3 linked regions of the Arabidopsis thaliana genome follow. The protein of the gene in region 2 interacts with the protein of the main gene of each other region in a pairwise test. Each region holds a gene or a part of one and is shown on either strand. Other genes may lie near its edges. The genes, in order: HCF244, ACD32.1 and AT2G24860.

Evidence for each region.
Region 1: the proteins of ACD32.1 (region 2) and HCF244 interact in a two-hybrid assay, tested with the Arabidopsis thaliana proteins (one large-scale study listed by BioGRID).
Region 3: the proteins of ACD32.1 (region 2) and AT2G24860 interact in a two-hybrid assay, tested with the Arabidopsis thaliana proteins (one large-scale study listed by BioGRID).

The regions. Positions count from the first base shown.
Region 1 is NC_003075.7:16,767,957-16,775,235, forward strand, and holds HCF244 (NAD(P)-binding Rossmann-fold superfamily protein), read right to left. Parts: upstream 5,501-7,279; 5' UTR 5,314-5,500; coding exon 4,927-5,313; intron 4,839-4,926; coding exon 4,740-4,838; intron 4,568-4,739; coding exon 4,373-4,567; intron 4,252-4,372; coding exon 4,159-4,251; intron 4,065-4,158; coding exon 3,969-4,064; intron 3,877-3,968; coding exon 3,736-3,876; intron 3,622-3,735; coding exon 3,445-3,621; 3' UTR 3,117-3,444; downstream 1-3,116. Other genes in the region: IDH1 (isocitrate dehydrogenase 1), read right to left, coding at 6,538-6,812, 6,913-6,991. UniProt on the Arabidopsis thaliana protein: Auxiliary factor required, together with HCF173, for the biogenesis of photosystem II (PSII), especially for the synthesis of the reaction center proteins (e.g.
Region 2 is NC_003070.9:1,966,505-1,973,783, reverse strand, and holds ACD32.1 (alpha-crystallin domain 32.1), read left to right. Parts: upstream 1-4,127; 5' UTR 4,128-4,369; coding exon 4,370-4,474; exon of another isoform or gene 4,475-4,877; coding exon 4,878-5,000; intron 5,001-5,155; coding exon 5,156-5,272; intron 5,273-5,362; coding exon 5,363-5,558; intron 5,559-5,805; coding exon 5,806-5,920; intron 5,921-6,016; coding exon 6,017-6,181; intron 6,182-6,439; coding exon 6,440-6,476; 3' UTR 6,477-6,697; downstream 6,698-7,279. Other genes in the region: AT1G06470 (Nucleotide/sugar transporter family protein), read right to left, coding at 244-361, 467-561, 987-1,073, 1,212-1,396, 1,505-1,517, 1,653-1,753, 1,894-1,961, 2,063-2,112 and 3 more; AT1G06450 (Polynucleotidyl transferase, ribonuclease H-like superfamily protein), read right to left, coding at 6,778-7,279.
Region 3 is NC_003071.7:10,584,789-10,592,067, reverse strand, and holds AT2G24860 (DnaJ/Hsp40 cysteine-rich domain superfamily protein), read left to right. Parts: upstream 1-3,651; 5' UTR 3,652-3,827; coding exon 3,828-4,034; intron 4,035-4,620; coding exon 4,621-4,770; intron 4,771-4,872; coding exon 4,873-4,950; 3' UTR 4,951-5,425; downstream 5,426-7,279. Other genes in the region: AT2G24880 (Plant self-incompatibility protein S1 family), read left to right, coding at 1,206-1,514; AT2G24870 (Plant self-incompatibility protein S1 family), read left to right, coding at 2,494-2,520, 3,268-3,408; TAT3 (tyrosine aminotransferase 3), read left to right, coding at 6,916-7,208.

The sequences.
Region 1 (7,279 bases), on a different chromosome or scaffold from region 2:
ACCCATTCCGGAGATTCTAAGTGTTGTGTTAAGCTGCTGATATTCATTTGGTTTCCAGTTTACATATGTACACACGAATTATGTAATGTAAGTTGTGGCCAAAATTAGTAAAACGTTGATGTATTAAACTGAGCCATAGAGAATACATATATAAATTTTCTAAAAAATTAACGCTGGTAAAAAGTTGAGTTCTTCTGCCAATTTAAGAGCAAAGTATCTGCATGATATATTACCTATTGTTAAGATAACGGTTCAATTTAAGGAAGTACTTATTCAAATGTCACGATTTCATATGCAAATCAGTAGAATACAACTCCATTATAGACTGATAAGTTTTTTTTTTTTTTTTTTTTGGGCAAATACTGATAAGTTCTGATCATTTATCTATACTTAACGCAATCGTATATGCCAGTGATAGATAATGTTATGCATTATTAACGCATACAGAAACAAATCTAAAACTAGTATAATCCATACAACTATTTTATTCCTCTGCTGTTTAGTGGTGAATTTGGAATAAAGTACTGGTGAGTAAGATATATTTATGGTTATTAATGCGATGGTCATTAATGCAAGGGGATTGAATTTAGGGTTTATAGGAGGAATAAAGAGAACACAGAAGAAAGGGTTGAAAGAAGGAGAAAATTCGGCACAGAATAATTGGGCGACGACAGGTGACACATTTCACTGGCGTAAAAAGGTTCACTATACACATGCTTTTTTTCACTTAGCTTCATATTTAATTATGTGTGTATATAGTATTAATTATGTGTGTATATAGTATTAATACTTGTATTAATACTATATAGTCTTAGGGAGGGTACAGTAATTTTTTAGTCATGTTATGCATGCAGTACATACAAGTACTTAATTAAGGAAATTTTGGGTTTTTGATACACTGTTCCTTTTTAATCGAAATAAGTTTTTTCTTCTTCTTCTGAGTTGATATATTTATTTGTCTGGTGGTTCAACCAAACCATCATGTGCTATGTATGACTTTGAGGTGTCGTGTGTTTTCGATAGAAACCTTTAATAAGGAAAAAGAGAAAATCCAAGTGTTGTGAATTATAAGGGAAATGTTTCCATTGCTGCGAATGTTTTGGGTGGCTTGTTGTGATCCGCACTGCAAGAAACTCTCCTTCTATATATGACAGTAGTGGATGAGATATTTTGAGGTAACTTTTGATTTTTAATAACAAATTTCTTTAGGTTGATTAGACAAAAGTTCAAGCTTTAGATTTGATAGAGAAACTACAAAGGTGTGACCACTAACCCACTTATATGTTTCTCATAAAATAAATTTGCAAATCTAGCCTCTAGGTATATCAGTATATGAATCTTTAAACTAATTAATGCCGCTATAGATCACATGGCAAAGCCTACATTATAAAATTCCCAGTATTCTTGTGAATATTATACGACATAACTTCAAAAAATAATGGTCAAGGAAAAACAAATAAATTACTAAAATCGATACAATTAGTTAATTACAGTAAAAGAAAAATATTTAACAAAGGGTCCTAAAACCAAAGAGTATATTCTCGTGAAGCCAACGAATAGAAAAGCTTCGTTTTTTCCTGTAAAGGACAAAAAAAGAAAGAAGCAGAGATTTCAACTCGAAAGAATCGCTTTGACTTTCTTCTTGTTCCTCCTTGGAACCAGAGTTCTTCTCATAAGCTTTGCAGACTCTGCTTAATTGTTTTTTTGGAGTGAACGACTTTGCTTTTTGTGTTAAAATTATTTAAACTCTTCTATTTCTAAAACAATAAGTATCGTTTTAATACTTATTATTTGAATATAAAAAATTGGTTTCATGAATTATATAGAATTCAGTTTATAAAATCACAATAATTATGGAAAAGGTTAAATATTTATGCGAAAGCCATGTCAAAAGGAAAAGAGAATATCCAACAGAAAGCAACTGTCCCTCCCAATATCTAAATACCAATTAACAAGAAAGTATATATAGTAAAGAAAAATAAAGACTGGTCTGATCTGATTGTGAAGAGCATTAATTCATTGGATTTTATCTTCTTTCTCTGCCACTAAAGTTTTGTAGTTGGATGGAGATCACTTTGGTCATCATGCCACTTATATATTTCCATGTGTCTATGTTTATTTTTTTTTATTCATTTACTCCTCTATTATTGAGATTATTTTTCCTCCTACGATCGACTTTCAAGTTGAGAAACAAATCAAAATGATCTGAAAAGTTTTAAACAGAACAAACGTGTACCTTTGGCAATTTGGCATTAGTGAAGTGAGATATATCAATAATGCATACCTAGTATTTTTTTTAACTCTATATGGACTTAGTTTATGTAGTCGTGGACTTTTTTTTTGGTATTAATTAGAAAATAATGTGTAAAAAAATGTAACTAATTTTTATTCATAAAACGGATCGATTGTCTTTGGTTAAGCATCGGGGTCGCTGTCTAGGTAGGCCAGAACAATTAGGGGAGAACACAGAATGTGAATGTGGTTTCGAGGTTTCATGTTATTTCTTCTTTCATTACTTTTAATACTAGTACTACATCAATGGAATAAAATCAATGAAAATATAATACGAAAAGACATAGACAAGACAACCTAAATGATAATCAACGACCTAACCCTATGATTAGATTCCACATTTTTTTCTCCTCTTTATAATTCCTTTTCAGGTTTTGATTTTTTAAACATGATCGTACGTACTATCCCTATGTGTTGTTTATCTTAGTATGTGTCTACAAATTAGTTAGATCGAAATAATATTCGGGCAAAGAAAAAAAGATTTTATTTTAAGATACTGATTTAACAACTCAAACAACACCTTTTGCAAACACTTATTACTTCTGATCTTAAAAGTGAATTTGCTGGTCGAGATAAGGAGTTGGATATCCAATGGATCATTGTTTTGAGCATTGTGGATTCTTAAATGGGTAGTAATAGACTCACGACTTACGGATTTTGGTGCAGTTGTTCGATTCTTCAAAAAGTGGTAGCAAATTTCAACCATAGATAATGAATGATCTTGTTCCACTTGTTAGGTTCTAAAGTTACATTGAGACTAACACTTGCATTTATTTCATCTTACTATTCATTTGCCAAAAGCTTTCTCACTTTTATTCACATTAACAAGAACCAATGAATGAGAAGAAGACTTTAAGGTGAAGAAAACACTGTAACAAGAAGCTCACAGCCCTAGCCTCGAACAAAAGTCAAACAGAGATGGTTTTGTAAGGGAATCTCATTATCTTTTTTTACCTGTTGGTTTCTCCTCAAGGTAACAAAGAATCTCTCTGGGCACCTCAAGCTACATTTACATTACAATAATTCTCTTTAATTACAAGAAGAAGCACAATAACCATTGAAGAACAGAGCAACAACGAATCTCACAGTATGGTTGCAAATGCAGTTTATAAATAGTGTTGAATCTTATGAAGACACTACAAGGTCAGAAACTCAGAAGTAGATGTCTGATTGCTTGGATTGTGCCTTTAGATCCTTTAGTTTCTTCAATATGTTGCTGAAGTAATCCTGCAAGTACTTCTCTAGAGTCACCATATCCTTCTGATCCACACCTAGTAGACTATTAGTCTCAGTCATCGGAGCAGAGAAGACCGTGTCACTCGAGAGAACCTAAACGTACCAGTGTCACACATATGTTAGAAGCATGATTTCAGCTGATCTGAAAAGCTACTATGAAACAAACTACAAAAGCATCATTGTTTGGTGATGAAGGCCAAATCTTACCTCTGAGAAGGCCAGTCTATCCGCGACATCATTTGTCCATTGAAAGAACCGAGTTAACTGACGCGTGACTCTCAATACAGAAACTGGAACGGTTGTGACATTTGCATCTTGCCCAGCAAGTCTCTCACATAGTGTTATCACCTGAATTGACAAAAGGGTAGTAAAAGGTTATGCTTTAGTAATATTTCTCTATTCCTTTCATTCAAAAGAGCGGTAACTATAGCCTTGCTTACTTCTTGTGTTGTCCATGCACGAGGGCCAGCGAAAGTCAGAAGTTTTCCATTGATCTTCTCATTACGTAAAGCTATAAGTGTCAGCCTAGCAATATCCTGTTATAGCATGAGGAACATGTTTAGATCATTTTATGTGTTTCATCCACATATTACACAGAGAAATGGAGTACATCTTCATTTGATTACTCACCTGTGTGTCCATGTAAGCAACACGCGTTGGTGCATCTGTTCCCCAAACCGATTTCTCCTCCAGAATTGGAACTGCATATTGACCAATAAGACCCTGCATAGCCATAGGCATAGTATACTCTGGATTAAACAACAATCAGCCATTACCACATTCAACATCATGTACTCACTTTCAGGGACAACTAGACGCATAAGTTCAGGGGAATGAGGCTTACTTGCATGAAACCACATAACCGAATGGTGATGTGGTTTAAACCAGATTCCTGAAGAAACTTCTCAGTGCAGTACTTAATCTCCATGAGAGGAACCTCAGGATGCTTATCGCAATTGTGGATTGAGTAAAAGACGTATTTCTGAATCCCCATTGCCTTTGCACATTGTATCAGAGCAACTTTTCCTTCCCAATCTACCTAAACCGAACACACATAACTTTCAATCACATTGGAAAACTGAATCCAACACTCAAACGTACAAGCCAAGGCATGAAACTGAGTATTAGACACACAAGCCAATCAAACTTTAATAAGTCTCACTAGGCTAAAGATTGAGTCTTTAACAAAAAGATATAATTTAGAAGCTTACCGTCTTGATAGGTTCTTCAGGACGTCCCGTGGCACAATCAATTACAGTGTGAATCCCGACCAAAGTCGCCGGAATTGTCTCCGGTTTACTAAGATCCGCCTAAGACCACACAAAACTCCGGTTTTAGTTCTCTTTTGGACAAATTTAAATACTTTGAGTAACTTTAAAGGAAGATGTGAATACGTACATTGACTACGGTGGCGCCCCAATCACGGAGGAAATCGGCGGGAGCTGGTCTTGGTCGGACCAAACACCTAACATCATACCCTTCATCTAAAGCTCTCCGGACGATTTGTCTTCCCAAAGTTCCAGTGGCTCCAACCACCAAGATGCTCGTGGGTCGGACTGGTGTCCCCGGAGCAAGATTAACCGCTGCAGCACTGCATGTAACCGGAACTACTATTGATCGTTCCCGGTTAAGGGATGAGGATGAGGAAGATGGGAAGAGCGGGATTGTATTTTCCGGTGTGAGAGAACGTCGCCAAGACAGACGCCCGGAGGAGGAGGATGAAGAGTTGTGGTGGATGAGATTGCCACGTGTAACTAGTTGAGCGGGGAGCCTGAGCGAAGCCATCAGTGTCGAAGAGAAGAGAGAGAGACAAGTGAGGGAGAGAGAGATAGAGAGACGACAGTTGATGTGCGTTTGGCCACGTCAGCTGGTGTTTTGACATTGGATTGGCTTGCATTTGCTGCCACGGAATAAATATTATTAAGAAAAAGGAAACTTTATATCGGTTTCTATAATAATACTTACGGGCCGGGCTTGGGCTCAAATTTTCTAATTCTGATCGGGTATAGTTTTAGCTGGATTTTCAAAATATTTGCAATGTTTGTTGAGAAGATATATTATACTAATAAACTATTTTCAGTTATGGGCTGCAATACAAAAGTTTCAAGCCTCATCCAAAACTCTACCAAGAGGCAAGAGGTGTCAAAGTTTAAAAGTCATTTTCGAACTTGCCGGGTACCAAATGTGACATCCCAAATCCGATGAAACAATTTCAAGTGATTTTAAAATTAGTCAATGTTAATTCACAAATTAAATTAAAGACTTGGAGTAAGAGCAACCCCAATGGTTGAGCCCTTAAAAGGGTTTTTTAAAATTTTAAATTATAAAAAATTAAAGTGTTTTTGTTGGACCATTAATTTTTTTTGGTCTAATGTTTAAGTGGGTCTTTTAAAAAAATATATTATTATTAAAATAAAAATTATTTATATTTTATTTTATAAAACTTAATAAATAATACAAATATTAAAATTTTAAACAAATATGATATATATATTAAAAATCATATGGACTAAAAAAGAGAGAAAAACGCGAAAAGAAAAATAAATAAATGATGTTGTCACAATGTTCAACCACACACACAATGACACGTTAGAGTTTCTTAACTACTCAAAAACCTCTTAAAATAAAGTTTTATATTTAAAAACATCCATCAAAAATTAACCAATGTGGATGCTCTTAAGAAACCACCATTCGAGGTGATCAAAGATACCATCAATTTTTCATTCATATTCTTGAAATTACGAATCCATAAAAGTTTGCATATTCCACGAACAAGTGTTTAAGAAACTTTGACATGACAAAAGGCGCCAACAAACGTAGCAACATGAATTATTTGGAACATGTTTTTTTTTCTTATCGAAATATTCCACGGCTAAAGAATATAATAAAACTCGAGGTACAAAACCAGATAACCGTTGTGCTTGGATCATACCCCATATTTTGGCAACACAAAATCTGTATCAGGAATTTGATGATTTATGCAGAGCGGGAACACGTAATTTGTCAAAGTCAGTCTAGTTTTGCAATGACCGCATCAACGACCTCTTGAGTCGTGCTTGTTCCACCAAGATCTTTCGTCCGGCACTTTCCTTCAGCGATGACTTTCTTCACTGCTGTTTCGAGCCGGTCAGCAAATGAAGGAAACTGAAGGTGTCTAAGCATCATCGCTGATGAGAGAAGCAATGCCACTGGGTTTGCTTTGTTTTCCAATACTATCTTGTCTTTCCCAACATTTCCTGCTGATGCACCTTGCTCGAATACCGCATGGTCAGCCCCAACATTTCCTGTTTTTGTATTTAATGTCGCAGATGTATAAATTTTAGAACTATTCTTTATCCACTAATGTATAGCTCGAGAGAATATCAATACAGGATGTTTTTTTACCTCCAGGCATGACTCCTGTGCCTCCAGCAATACCAGCAGCAGTGTTTGCAACTAAATTCCCATAGAGATTCGGCGTTACCTGCAAAACATTTCATAAATTGCTGTTATAAAAGGGGGGAAAAGCCAAAAGACGCTACTACATACAGTAATGAAAGGTTAATACTTAGCAACAGTGAAGTTACTGCTCTAACGAACAATAGTGTATGCAAAGTAGTAAGTATACATAGACAAGGTCACAGAAGTACAATTTAAAAGATTCCCTGAAAGCATGATATGCAAATGACGAGATTAAATAGTATGCAAATGGGGCGATTAACTATAGTATATGGCAACACAACATCAGTCTCATACCAATAAGATAATATGA
Region 2 (7,279 bases):
AAAGACATGTGAAATTGGACCAAATTTGCAGCCACTACTAACTTTTTCCCTTTAAAATTTGTTGAAATGGTTATGTTCTTCTATCATTTTTGTAAGGCAGGGAAACATCAAAGTTTCCAATTCATCTGCCTTAAAAGTATGTTATAGTCTTTTTCTCAAGGAAGGTCCACATGCTTCCACATTACGGATGTACCAGCCTAAAAGGGGGTTTACCATATCATGTGAATGTATCAAAAATAATTCTTAGGGACTATTTTCTTGATCATCCATCTCATCAAGAATCACATATTTTCCAGTCTGACTTGGAGCTTGTAACTGCTTCTCTTCCTCTGTTTTGTGCCCCTTTTGTAGTTTATCATATCTGACAAGACATCAAAAGCATACACCGTTCGGTTCCAATATACAAATTTGACATTGTATTCATTTCTCAGCATATTAGATGTTTAAACAAGCAAGAGTTACTTACTTGTACCAGTTGAACAAACTGACACCAACCATAATGATCATCAGACCCACACCTTTCAGCCACGTAAATTCGTCATGGAAGTAAAACACTGCAACCTGTTTTGCACAGAGTCAAAGAACAACACAATGAAGATTTTACATCCCCAAATATATCAGCAGCAGCACTGATACAAAATTCTTCTGGAGGCAGGGACATGTAGTTTAAGCAAATTCTATAGTGAATGAGAAGCCAGTTCTAAAGACACTAGTTCTGTTTTATCGAGTATGTCTATTAAGAGGCCAGACATGAACTCATAATCCATTCTAGAAAGCAAACTCCAAACAGGTGTGTCTATTTATATGGCATATGACCAATATAATCTCACCATCTTAAGATATCAGTCCCTTGTCTAGAACATCACCGCAAGGTTTCAATCAAATATAGTTCAGACTTTCTAGCTTAAGAATACGAGGAAAGTAGAACTTACAAGCTAGACCTCATCAGTTAGATATTCCAAAAAGTTTATGAATATAGGACATACCACTATGGTGACAGCCTCTTTGACAACTCCCGCTATTGTGACGGTTACAGCACTAGTTACGGAAACAAGGACATACTCTGTCAAAACCTGAAAGAAAATATTAAATAGTGAGCATGGAAGACTGATCACATACGAAACTAGAGTTTCATAAGATGCTTCAACCTCCACCTATCAAAACAAGTTCACTCTTACATAAGGTTTGTAAATTGTTTAGTAAATGCTCACCATACAAAAAGCCAGTGCTCCGCCAAAAAGCATCAAAAAACAAGTTCGAGCAAAATGTGCTCCACTATCAAAGTATTTGTTGTCTCTAAATTCACTCCATGGATCCAGAAGGAGAGAAAGAAGACCAGTCGCTATAGCCATCACTGGTGCCACACAGCTCATGAATATGAATGGATTTTTCAGTCCTAGATAAACAAAACAAAAACAAGTATAAATTTATTTCTAGGTCTTGTGACTTATAAGAAACTAAGAAAGACAATTATAGATTTGAAAACACCAAGAGCAGAACCCACCAAATGTTTCTTTCTACACATCATGTTGTCGTCAGAATGGAGCAAAACATCGGAAGACAAAAACCACAAAAAGTAAAGGTAAAGAGTTAATATATAAAGATCCAATGTATGGTTTAACAGAAATTAAAAACTGAGTTAAAGAATATACCTGCAAAAGAACTTGCGTCATACACCAGCGGAAACCAGACATGACAGCAGCAAGCATGACAAAAACGAAACCCCAAAACTCAAATTCTGTCTCCTTTGCAACTGATGGTGAGAAAATAACAAGTTTAATGGCTTTGATTTAGGAAAAAAAATTCAACTAAAAACTTCTAGATAGATTTTGTAGCAAACAGGTCCAGGAACAACGGAGTACAAAGCAATATAAATGACAAAGAAAAACATACCTGTTAACAACACTCCTGCTGAGATCACTGAAATAATGCCAAAAAGTTTCAGGCTTGGAGACTCCAGCCTAACCAGCGAAATATTGTGTCAGGATAACACATGGAGTACAAAAAATTGTAAAGCACAAATCAGGATAAAATAAACAATTAATCGTTATGTATAAAGCACCTGAAGGCAAAAGCAAACAGAAGAAGAAATATTGGGGCTGCAGATTTGCACTGCAAGTGGAAAAAACACATGCATATCATTAGACAAGTCTCACCTTGTTTCACCCGCAAATTCCAAAGAAGTTGCATAGACCTACCATAGTATATAAAATAACTAACCATTGTTGCAAATGTAACCGATATGAAGACAAGTGACTCGTTACTTAGGTTTATATCCATAGCAGTTCCAAGCGCTGTTGGTACAACTGCGAAAGGACAGGCCATGTGGGTAATCAGTTTATGGAAATATAATATATTCAACTTTCGAAAAACTGAAACAGAAAAAACACACTAAATCTTCCCCTCTCGTCCTCACTAAATACTGTAGATGATAATTGCATTGCATAAATTGCAGAAAGTTCTCAGTACTATGTAGTGAGAATAAAGTAGAAAGTAATGGCTAAAGGAATGCCCTGGTTTTGTTAGTTTACCTCTAACGAAATAGTCTCTCCATGATATGGTAACATCAGGCTGAAATCTCCCCGACCAATACCATGTTATCATCTTTGATAAAACAGCTTGAATAGAAAAGTGAATGGTATTCATTAATAAGGGAGCAGGAAATTTCCCTAAATCATCTCCTAAGAGAGTTTTGTTGTACCTAGAAAATAAGCAAGTAAATTAAATGCTAGTTGTATGGAATTAAAAGAAGAAAAAGAAAATGTTAGTCGCAAAGACATACTTACAGAGTCAGAAATGTGCTGAAAGTGTACCATACAAGTATAAAGAAGAGTGTTTTAAGCACGTCAGCAGGAGAGATATCTACTTTTGACGCTTTAGGCAATGTTTCAAGGGTATCACCGGAACTGTAACCAACATCAAAACTTCTGGAGCCGTTTGTCTCCTTCCCGGTCTCATTTTCAATACCAAAAGTCTCTAAAACCTGTTCTCTATCTACATCTCCCTCATTGGATATGGTTTCCATTGTACCAACACGGAGCTGCACTCTTTGCTCCATCAATAATCTGAACTCACCAGCAAACCTTTTCGGCTTCCATTCACAGACAACTGTGACAAAGCATGCAATCTAGTAATCCAGCCTTTCTTTACTCAACAGGTATTTAAAAAAACACGAGTACCCCTGTAATGGACAGCTCTCTTGCCTCGGAATTTCAAGGAAGAAAGTTTTATATTTGACCCATACGCATATGTTCAAATGGTACAGTGTCCAATTCTCTCTGGCATATCCCAGTGGGCTAATTGAATTAGGAACCTAAGATGTTGGTGAATATGCAATGCAGTTCTCTGGAACTACTTGACCTAGAATCACAAACACAAGCTCAAGTAAGTCAAGTATTTCTGTGAGAAATTCCTCTGGAGAAAGTGGAAAGCAAAGCAAACAATCACACAAGAGCCACATTTCAATAAAGGCAAGCTTCTCTAATACGCCGATGCAAAGATTCAAACCGAATGAAAGGAAGCTACATTTAATCTGATAAGAACCAAAAGAGTTCACCGACAGAAGAAATTGAATACATAAACCATTCTTTAACAGGGCCGCTTCAAGAAGAGATTAATACGTCACTATTGGAACCTAGAAAAAGCAAACACGTAAAAAGAAGGAAATCTATTCGAATGAATCTGAGTTTCACGAAATCAGATGTAATCCAAATCAGGAAAAGCTCAATGATTCTGAGCTCAAAAAAAGTAACGCAACAACGAAAAGAGAACTCCTCGCAATCAATCTGGATCGGGAGTGAGCTCAAAATTCATAGATTCAAAGCTAACGAACGCGGACTATGAAATCAGCATAATACAGATAGGGAAAATCAAAATTTCGCCAGAATGGAAGAAAGAGACCTACAAAGAGAGAAGAATCGGCTCGTTGGATCTGATCGAAGCTGCAGGAACTTTGTGTGTGTGTTTGAAGATAGATTGATTTTGGAGTCGCAACCGCAGGTTGTTGGAGTTTGGTGAATTTTTACGAAATCATTACCGCTCGGAGTCTGCAATGCAACTTGCATTTACCTTTACACAGATTATATTTGTTTTCACAAGAATTAATAATTTTCATTTTTAATGGAGTTCGCGTTTTGACAAAAAAAATATTGAACCAAAAAAGAAAAATGTTTTCCAATAAAAACGAGTCGTTGTCATTTCTTGTCCGTTTCCGGAAGAAAATATCTTTTAATCTTCAAGCAGATATTTTCGAATCCAGCGCGCGAAGTTAAAGCCACTCATTTGTTTCATCGATCCTACTTCCTCCTGTGTCACTGCAATCACTCGCTCGTCCTTTTCTCTATTTCTTCACCGATCGAATCAATCAGAGATGGAGCATGAATCTATCACCGCTCGACGCAGGCTCGCTGCCTTCGCCGCTCACTTCCCGGCAACCAGTTACGATTCCGCCTCCACCGCATCTCTCGTCCCCTTGGTATTCCCCTTCTCTTTTTGTCTCTCGTTTCCTTATCTGCAAGCCTAGACCCCAAGGATCCGACGGTTTTCGAATTAGACTTTCTGTATTTCGTTCTCCTATGGTTTCTTAACTTGGTTAGATAGTTTTTCTGATCCCTTGACCGATCTCGAATCTCGATGTGGATTTACTTGCAAAATTGGAGCAGATCGACCAAGTACAAGAACAGTTAGTCTGATTCATTTTGGCTTAAACCTTGATTTCGTTTAAGGGTGTTGCAATGGAAAGCTCAAACTGTTCAATTATTGAAAGTCATATCATGCTTATGGATGTGTTTTTTTATACTTGACTCTGCCTCAAATAGGTTGGTTCACTGATTCCTTTATTTTGGTCTAATGGATCTCTTATTTGTGTTATGCCTCAGAACTGCAGCAGCAGTTTGAACACTGTCATCCAAAGGTGTGACAACAAAATCTCTTTTGCCCGGCAAGCATCATCTGAACAGGGCTTTTTTATGAGGCCAGCTTCACCCGATGATGTCCTTGAGGTACCATAAGTTTTTTATTATGTTTTGAAGTCCCTCCTCCTTCTTCTCTGGTCACTTACTGTCTAACTACACTTAGTTAACAAAGTCATATCTGTACTGTAATGTAAATATGCCCACACCATTAACCTCTTCTGTCACTTGTGATGATGATTCAGAACTTAGGTATGAATTTGAAGAACACTGTCGTTAGAAGGGGTGACAACAGGCTGTATTTTGCTCGGCAAGCATCTTCTGCACAAGGTTTTTTTATGAGACAGGCTTCGACTAATGAGGTACCATTAATTTCTTATTATTATTTTTCAAAGTTTCTCTTCTCATCTATACTTCTGTAAAAGAGAATTGATTCAAAATGTTTTTTGCAGAGGACCATACCACATGATGCTGCTGCATCTACCAAGTTTTCTGCTACCAAAACAACTGGCTTCGATTCTTCTTCACCTGCGTACGCTGCACCACACTTTTCTAAGCCTGCAAAAGAGGACATCTTTTTTCCTTCTTTATCACCAAATCTGCAAAAGGAAAGGCCTAAGCTTGATCTTCCTAAGTTAGCCAATTTAGGTACGAATACAAATATAGGTGTATTCCACTCCAATAACACTACTTTTCTAGTCCTATTATAACCTGATACTTTTCTTAGAGAACTTAATGATTTCTGTAGTTTACAAACACACAAATATTACTAGGTATAACTACTAAAGGTGGTTTCTCACCAGCCTTGATCTACAGAAACTAGCATCCGTACTTCAAACAAATCCGTACAAATGAACATGAGAACTTACTTAAAGAAGTTTTTTTCCTTTTGCAGGTACTGTTTGGTCTCCCAGATCGAATGTTGCTGAATCGACACACAGCTATGTTGTGGCAATAGAGCTACCAGGAGCCAGTATCAATGATATAAGAGTGGAGGTTGACAACACAAAGTAATCCTGCTGATACACATCTTTTTTCAATCTGTTCCCATTACTCACACAGTAAAAATGCATTGTGTAACAAAGGTACTTACCGTTCTGCTGCAGCTTGACTGTGACAGGTAGACGCACATCTATCTGTCAAAAAGTTGATGCAGGCACCAAAGCTTCGATCCTTGGATATCATAAGCAAGAAATACTACAAGGACCATTCAAAGTTTCCTGGCCACTCCCCAGCAATGTGAACAAGGATAATGTTTCCGCTGAATTTATGTAAGTAGAAGCTATACTTACTAACAATCTAACCGTATGATCAAACAACTATTCTCCTTAAATCTTTCAATCCTAGAGTTCATATGATAGATTCTGCCTGTAGGTTTTAGCTAGTAGTGCACACCTAAAAAGTAGTCGTTTTAGAATCCAATTTTACATCTTAGTGCCAGTCAGTCATTAGCTTGAATTAGTTTAGATAGAATTTAGCAAGTTTTATAAAGAGCACTAACATCCAATTTATTATTGCGTTTGAAACAGGGATGGGATTCTGAGAATAGTAATTCCAAAGCTTTGAGGGTTCATCGTTCTGAAACCATATATAGATACGGTAAACATTGTGTGTGATATAGCAGTTTGTGTGGAAAAGAAAAATATCAAATCATGAAGAAAGTTTGGTCTTTTATGTAAAATAGTTTGGTCTTTTATATATCACAGATTGTAGACAGGCATTACTCAAAGTGAAGCCATGTAAACAATCCATAAATATATAAAAATAAAATCTTCATTACTACTACCAAAAGCCAGAAAAGAAAAAGAAAAAAAAAAGAAAAAAGCTCAGAAGCATCTAATCATCCTAAAGCTGGGGAAATCTCAATCTACTCAACTACGTAGCAAGCATTATTGTTGTAATAATTAGGAACTGGTCCAAGATAATCAACAGTAGCAGATGGCGTCTGAGACGGGTATGCAAAAGTGCTTGCAGGTAGATGAGTAAGCTGCACATACGTACCGGTAGCATTACAGAACGCCCATGGGGCACCTGAAGGATCGTAGGAGACAAGCTGAGGCTGCTCATAGTTCTGGACATATCCATTGTGGAACACAGGATATGAAGCTACATTCTGCTGGCACATCAAAGGAAGAGTCGGCTCTGGCACAGGCGCAGGGGCAGGGGCGGCAACGAGGTTGCTTTTCCCAATTCCATAGATCAATCCTCTAGCAAATCTGGAATCTTCATAGACATGTTTAAGCTTGATGAAGACAAGTGCAGTCATTAAGCTGTCTGAACCAGCGTGATGTGCTCTTCCCACACGAGTGATCTGAAGTAGCTGGGCTAGTTTGCTTAACCCGAGGTGTTCACCTAGTCCTTCACAGAAT
Region 3 (7,279 bases), on a different chromosome or scaffold from region 2:
GGTCAACTGAATCGCTTTAAGAGTTAAGTTTTGATTACTTGAAGACTGTTGACTATATGGTGTGGCAAATACAACATGATTACTACCGGAGCTTCACCTAGTCAACAGTCTCCACTTTTGGACCTACAGATGCACTATCTCCGGATAGAAAGCTTCTCCACTCTTGGACCGACAGATGCACCATCTCCGGGTAGAAAGCTTTTACTGGACTGTATTTGTGACCTTAAGGTTCTTTTGCTCAACCCCAATTTTAGTACGTAACCTAACCTCAAAATTGGCCTTACTTTTCGACGATATTTAGCTCAACTCTGATCTGCCATTCATTACCTTGCAGCTGTCGAACTATCACCAACATTCAATCTTGCAAAAGGGAATTAGGGTTGCACATAGTGGGATAATTGTTCAACTTTGGTCCATCGTTAAAGCTTTGGCCCAATACTAAAAGTAATGGATTCTTTTTCCAAAAAGAAAAACACAGGTTTGTTATTTTATCTTTATGTTGTTTGTTTGCTTGTCGTTGGATTCTTCTGGATTTCACGACCAAACGCAGCCAGTAATAGTTGATAATAGCTGATAATTCTATCGATTGAAAATTGTAATCGTTGGTGACAATTGATATAATTAGTCACCAAACTAACAACATGCAAACAAACAATTTTGGTCGCTATTGCTGGTTGATCAGGTCCATAGGGATGAGACATGATCATGACCAATATGGGATGGGGACTTGGTTACCATTTCATATTTTTGACACCCGTTATTACAAGAACACATGCACAAACCTTATTTAATTTGTCTTTATATGCTTTGCTGTTTATAGTATTTGACAACTTGTGTATTACTTTTAAAGTAAGATTTTTAAAACAAATACTTTATTACTTAATAGGTTACATTGATAGTATGATATGATTTATAAATTAATAGGGTAATTATTGAAGATTTGCTTATGCACAATTGGTTACTTTAGTTATCATTTGATCTTCCACATAAGTTTTAGTATTATCTGCAACTCGTTACTTGACCTTACCATTTTCTTAATAATTAAATGTTAATAAATTCATGTATATCTAATATGATTATTATAAGATATTATGTGCCATTTTAGATACTATGCCAACAATAGTAATACAAATGTGTGCATATATAAAATCTGAAACACAAAAGCCAATAACAAAGAAAAACATCTAAATATCTATCCAAAATAAATGAAAAACTTTTCAATCTTTCTATTCGTGTTTAGTCTTTGCATGTTTGACCATGTATCCAGCTCTGGATTCAAGATCACGAACGAACTCAAATCCAATAAACTTCTTCGGATTGGATGTTATTCCAAAGATGACATATTCGGTCCAAAAACAATACCAATAGGACAACATGTTGAAATCAATTTTACTATTAATTTTTGGCATACAACACGTTTTATGTGTAATTTGGAACAAGGACCTAACTATAAACATTATCAGAAATTTACAGCATACAAGGTTTCCGGTTTTATGGTTGAGGAAGGCATATAGGACTAGAGAGCAAGAGAAGATGGAATCTATTTAGACAAAGAAAGCGGCAAACATATTGGAAAATCGATTAATTTGCATAAAATGTATGATTGGTTAAATTATGTTTAACAATCTACCTAAGAACAAAAAATATTTTATCTTATCATCTTGAAACAAGAAAATTTACCATTCTTCTTTTCCTTCTTCCCCTTTTCTTCTAGTTTTTATCATTCAAAAGCAATCTCATAATATTTGGTTTTAATACATTTCACAAACCATCTCTAATAACAAAATTCAAATTTCTTGAAATCCCAATTGTAATCATAAAAACTAGTCACAATGGCTATTACGAGAGGCTATTTAAAGGACAATTTCGATTATAAATCCAAAATGTAATTCAAATCCGAATTGTAATCATAAGAAATCCTAATTGTAATCAAAATTTTATCCAAAATCTATCCGTTTCACCCAAAATCAAAGAAAAAAGGATCAAACCATCAAATCTAATATGAAATAAAATCCTAATTAAATACAACACAATCAATAGAATGAAACCTTAAATAAAATCCTAATTAAACACAACACAATCAATAGAGTGAATTAAAATCTTAATTAAACACAACACAACATAATGGTTGGATCGTAAATAAGTGAAAACCCCTTGTTTTATTTGTCTTTTACTATTTTTTGGAGAAAAAAAACTAGATAAACATATTTTTTTTTTTATAATGGGAGCTAAATAGAGAATGTTTTAACCCGAGAGGCCCGAGTAGATTAAAATCCGAATTCAACCTTTTCGGCCAAGAAGAAGAAGAAGGAAATGGCGATTTGCATGTGTTGCGATTCACATCTTGTAAAAAAATCGATTATGAATCCATGGAATTTGCGGAGTAGAACGAAACTAGGGTTTGTACTGGTCGTTTGCCGTTTTCCGACTACTACTACTTTCAAGGCTTCGGCGGTGGATTCACCTGAGAGTTCTTTAAATTTCACCAAGCATATGGATCAAGCTTGGATAATCTCACAGGTTCGTATCTTTCGAGAGTTGTTGAGTTTGTTGAATTTGAGTAATCACAAGAACGTTATTACAAGAACAAAATGTATAAACCTAATTTAGTTTGTCTTTCTCTACTTAGTTGTTTATTGTACTTTACAAATTGTCTATTACTTTTAAAAACAAATACTTTATTTACTAATAGGTTACATAGATAGTATGATATGATTTATAGAATAACCAGTTTATTATTGAGGATTTTTTTATGCACAATTGAATTTCTTAGTTATCATTTGATCTTTCACATAAGGTTTAATATTATCTACAACTGGTTACTTGATTTTATCATTTTTTTCATAATTCAATATTAATAGATTTATGTATATCTAATATGATTATTATAAGATATTATGCCATTTTACATACTATGCCAACAATAGTAATACAAATGTGTGCATATATAAAATCTGAAACACAAAAGCCAATAACAAAGCAAAAATCTAAATATCTACCCAAAAAAAATGAAAAACTGTTTAGTCTTTTTTATTCGTTTTTAGTTTTTGCATGCTTGACCATGTATTCGGCTCTGGAATCAGGATCACCAACGAACTCAAATTCAATAAACTTCTCAGGATTGGATGTTATTCCAAAGATGACAAATTTGGTCCAAAAACAATACCAATCGGCAAACATGTTGAAATCAATTTTATGATTAATTTTTGGCGTACGACGCGTTTTATGTGTCATTTGGAACAAGGACCTAACTATAAACATTATCAGAAATTTACAGCATTCAAGCTTTCTGGTTTTATGGATGAAGGAGGTATATGGGACTGGAGAGCAAGAGAAGATGGAATCTATTTAGACAAAGAAGGCGGCAAACATATTGGAAAATCGATTAATATGCATAAAAGTGTATGATTGGTTAAATTAAAAATATTTAACAATCTATGTAAGAACAAAAAAAAATGTTATATTATCATCTTAAAACTAGTAAATTTATACATAGAAAAAAATTATTTTCTCAATCATATAAGCAAACCAAAAACAAACAAGCAATCTGGATTTTGTTTTGACTGTAGGAAGAATCCAAGGAATTGTAGAGGAGATAATGAGTTGGTTTAAATCATTGAATCAATCATTTTAGCAAACAAAAAGATCCAACTTTAATGGGCCCAGGGTCCAATAACCCAATTGGGTTATTCCTAGACTTTTCTCCTCCTCCTGTTGTCTTCCAATTTGGTATGCGAGAAAAATAAAATAAAATAAAAATAAGCCAAAGACAAATTTAAACCTCCGATTTCAACCTTCTCGGCGAAGAAGAAGAAGAAGAAGAGAAAATGACGATTTGCATGTGTTGCGATTCACATCTCGTAGCGAAATCGATTCTAAATCCATGGAATTCTCCTAGGATAACGAAGCTAGGTTTCGTACCAGTCGTTCGCCGTTTTCCAGCTACTACTACCGTCAAGGCTTCGGCGGTGGATTCACCTGAGAGTTCTTCAAATTTCGCCAAGCGTATGGATCAAGCTTGGATTATCTCACAGGTTCGTATCTCCAGAGAGTTGTTGATGTGTATAATTTTGTTGAATCTGAGTAATCACAAGAACTGATCCTTGATGTAGTCATGTACGAGTGAAGAGCTATATGCAATTTTGTATGAGATTAAGAACTTGGATCTGTGATGAAATGTTGTAAATTTCAGATTATGAGGTGAATAGTATCAGCAAGTTTCAAAAGGATTTGTATCGAAAATCTGTAATTGCAAAGTACCTTTTAGTTGGTTTCTAGCAAAAAATGTTTGTTCACAATTCATTTGATTTGTGCATATGATGAGAACATGTTAGCTACTTAATCAGGTTGTAGCTGTTCTCTATGATCCCTGAGTGATGAGGCTTAAGCAGGCTTATCTCGCAACGCAATGTAGTTTTGTAGCTTTGCATGTACAATTGTTGGATTCTCTGCTTTTTCTCTAATATTGCTCTTAGAGAATCTATCAAAAGTTCAGACTTTGAAGCCTTTCTTCTAGCACTTGCAATTTGATATTGAGCTCGTGTGAATTTTCTAGATGTTACTTGTTGACCTGTGTTTCGATTCAATGATTTTCTTTGTCTGTTTTTTTCTTCACTGCAGCAACCAAGTCCTGTTGGATGTTCATCGTGCAATTCAAAGGGTCATGTGGAATGCAAATGGTGTGCGGGTACAGGATTCTTCATCCTTGGTGATAACATGCTTTGCCAGGTTCCCTCAAGGAATACTTCATGTGTAATCTGCTCTGGACAGGTTTGTTATCTAATAAAAACGAAAGTGCAGACACATTATTGTGTCTTCTTGTTTATATATCTTCCCAAGTATGAACAAATTCGATTCTTTCAATGGTTTTAGGGTTCTGCTAGCTGTAGCGATTGCAAAGGAACGGGGTTTCGTGCCAAGTGGTTGGAAAAACCTCCAGTGCCAACATAACTGATGAACAAAAGCAAGTTAAGCTTTTTGGTCTTTGATGATTTCTTATGGAGGAAAAATGTTTATATATTGATTCAAGTGGAACATGAATCAGATATGCATATATCTTTATACATGTGTTAAGTATATATATGTAAGTTCATTTATTCATTTCCCCTTGTTCTGTCTGTACAACCAAAGGCCTACACAAGAGTTCTTGTAATCGACACGTGAGTTTTACGATTTCGATCATTGGAGTAGCTCAACGGAAGAACATTAGTAGCACAGGGTCACCTTCGTATTTCTTTTGATATTTTCTCGTTGTAGGGTTAAATCATGTGCATCTTCCTTACCCTTGATGAATCTGGATATGGCGTTTCTCTAATAGAATTGCGATTATCATCATCTTAGATACAGTTTGTGCCTAACAAATCCAACCTAAGCTAGTTACTTAATCATTTTCTTTTGGGGAAGTGAAAATGGCATTTGATTTCAGGATAATTCTTAACCAAAGCTGCTAAGTGAAGAACTTGTGTCAGTGTGCATTCCATTTCCCAAGTGATGAGGAAATCTTCAAAAGTGTTCATGTCTAGAGTGTAAGAGGGCACTCGAACACAGTGGTTCGCCGTTTCCTCCATTATATATACCTCTACTTTGCCCCTTTTAGTTTTACTTGTCACAAAACTTTCCAGATACATATTTACTGCACAAAAACTAAATTATTTTGAGTAAAAATTACCAACGCACCAGCAGGTTATTTTTTTTTATTTTTTTTACGGTGTATTGAAGAAAATTTCAAAACTACATAATCGTAAATAAGAGTTTTATTAAATTTTACACAATTAGATGCATTTTTTCATCTGATCCAACTTTCTATATCTCTTCTTTTTTGTGAAACTGTATTTTTAGAAAAATAATGTGTTTTTGACGGAAAATTTGGTGGATTGATTTGGGTTAACCCCTTTTGACACCCCTTAGTTCCACTAATAGTTTTTTTATCCTACACATAAATTTCTATAAACTTTTGTAATCAGATATAGTCACATACATATGGTAGTAAGAATTAACTAATAGGCTATATCTGAAAATGGAAAATGGAAACCGTCTTTTTAATAATGAGCTCAACAAGAGGATTTTCTAGATGCTTGATATAATCGAAATATTGAATACACCTAATGGCTTCAGAAAATATAATATTGTTTCTAGTTCTCATAATGTATGTTCTTGGAAGCCCAAAAAGAAAATTAAAAAAGATCTTCTCCATGATCTCCTCTTTAATTATTGTAAATGAGGTATTATACGCGCAATGTCATTCACGACGCACGCATAACCATTTGACTCTTTGATTGCGTTATACTTAACATTAAGCTATAGTTAAATGTTTAGTTTCGAGTGTTTTGATTGGATAATTTTAATTTGCTTGGTTCCTGTTCGGATTAGTTTGTGTGTTTTTAACCTTTATAGATTGTGTTATATACCTTTTAATCTCTTAAATAAAGCAAACAAAAAACAGTAATAATACATAATGGTTAGTTATTCGGGTAATAAACAAAAATATGTGACATTTGAGTCAATAAGAACCAGCCACTGCCCGCAGACCACAGCAAGTCTTTTGTTTTTGTTTTTTTTTGGGTCAAAAATATTAGTTAAGTCTATTCACGTTTTATTTAAGTTATAAAGAACAAATAATTGGAAAAAGGTAGTGTTTCACGAGATCGAATATTTTCTTGTTTTTTGTGCAAGTCTGTAATCAGACTAAAATATCATTAATTTCATCGTATGTTCTTAAAGTATTAAAATATTGATCGTAGCATGTGGAAAATGTTGATTATTATTCTTATTTTAAGGTCTTCATTTTTTGTAGTCTTGCGACGACCCTTGACTTTAAATCCTTTATAAAGGCCTCGACTAAAATGAGATGTACCAACAACACAAAACTTGTACTCACAACTAAAAGAAGAACTCAAACGCAAGACAGAAAGATCAATGGCGAGCAACGGAGTTACCAACTGTAACGCAAACGCCAATGTTTGGCGGTTCAAAGGAAACGGTGCAACGAGTGATGCGGCGGCGGTGACGTTGAGAAAGCTTGCTTTTGGGATGTTTAAAAACTGCACCATGAACAGTGGAAAGACCATTTTGTTCCCAACTCCCGGCGAGCCCTCCGCCCATTCCAACTTCAGGACTTGCCCGGAAGCCGAGGAAGCCGTTGCCGCAGCTGCACGCTCCGGCATGGCTAACTCTTACGCACCCAGCCCTGGAGTTTTCAAGGCTAGAAGGTCTGTTTGAAAAATTTCATTTTTCTTTTTGAAAAACTATTAAAAATAAGTTTTACAATAACCAATCTTTG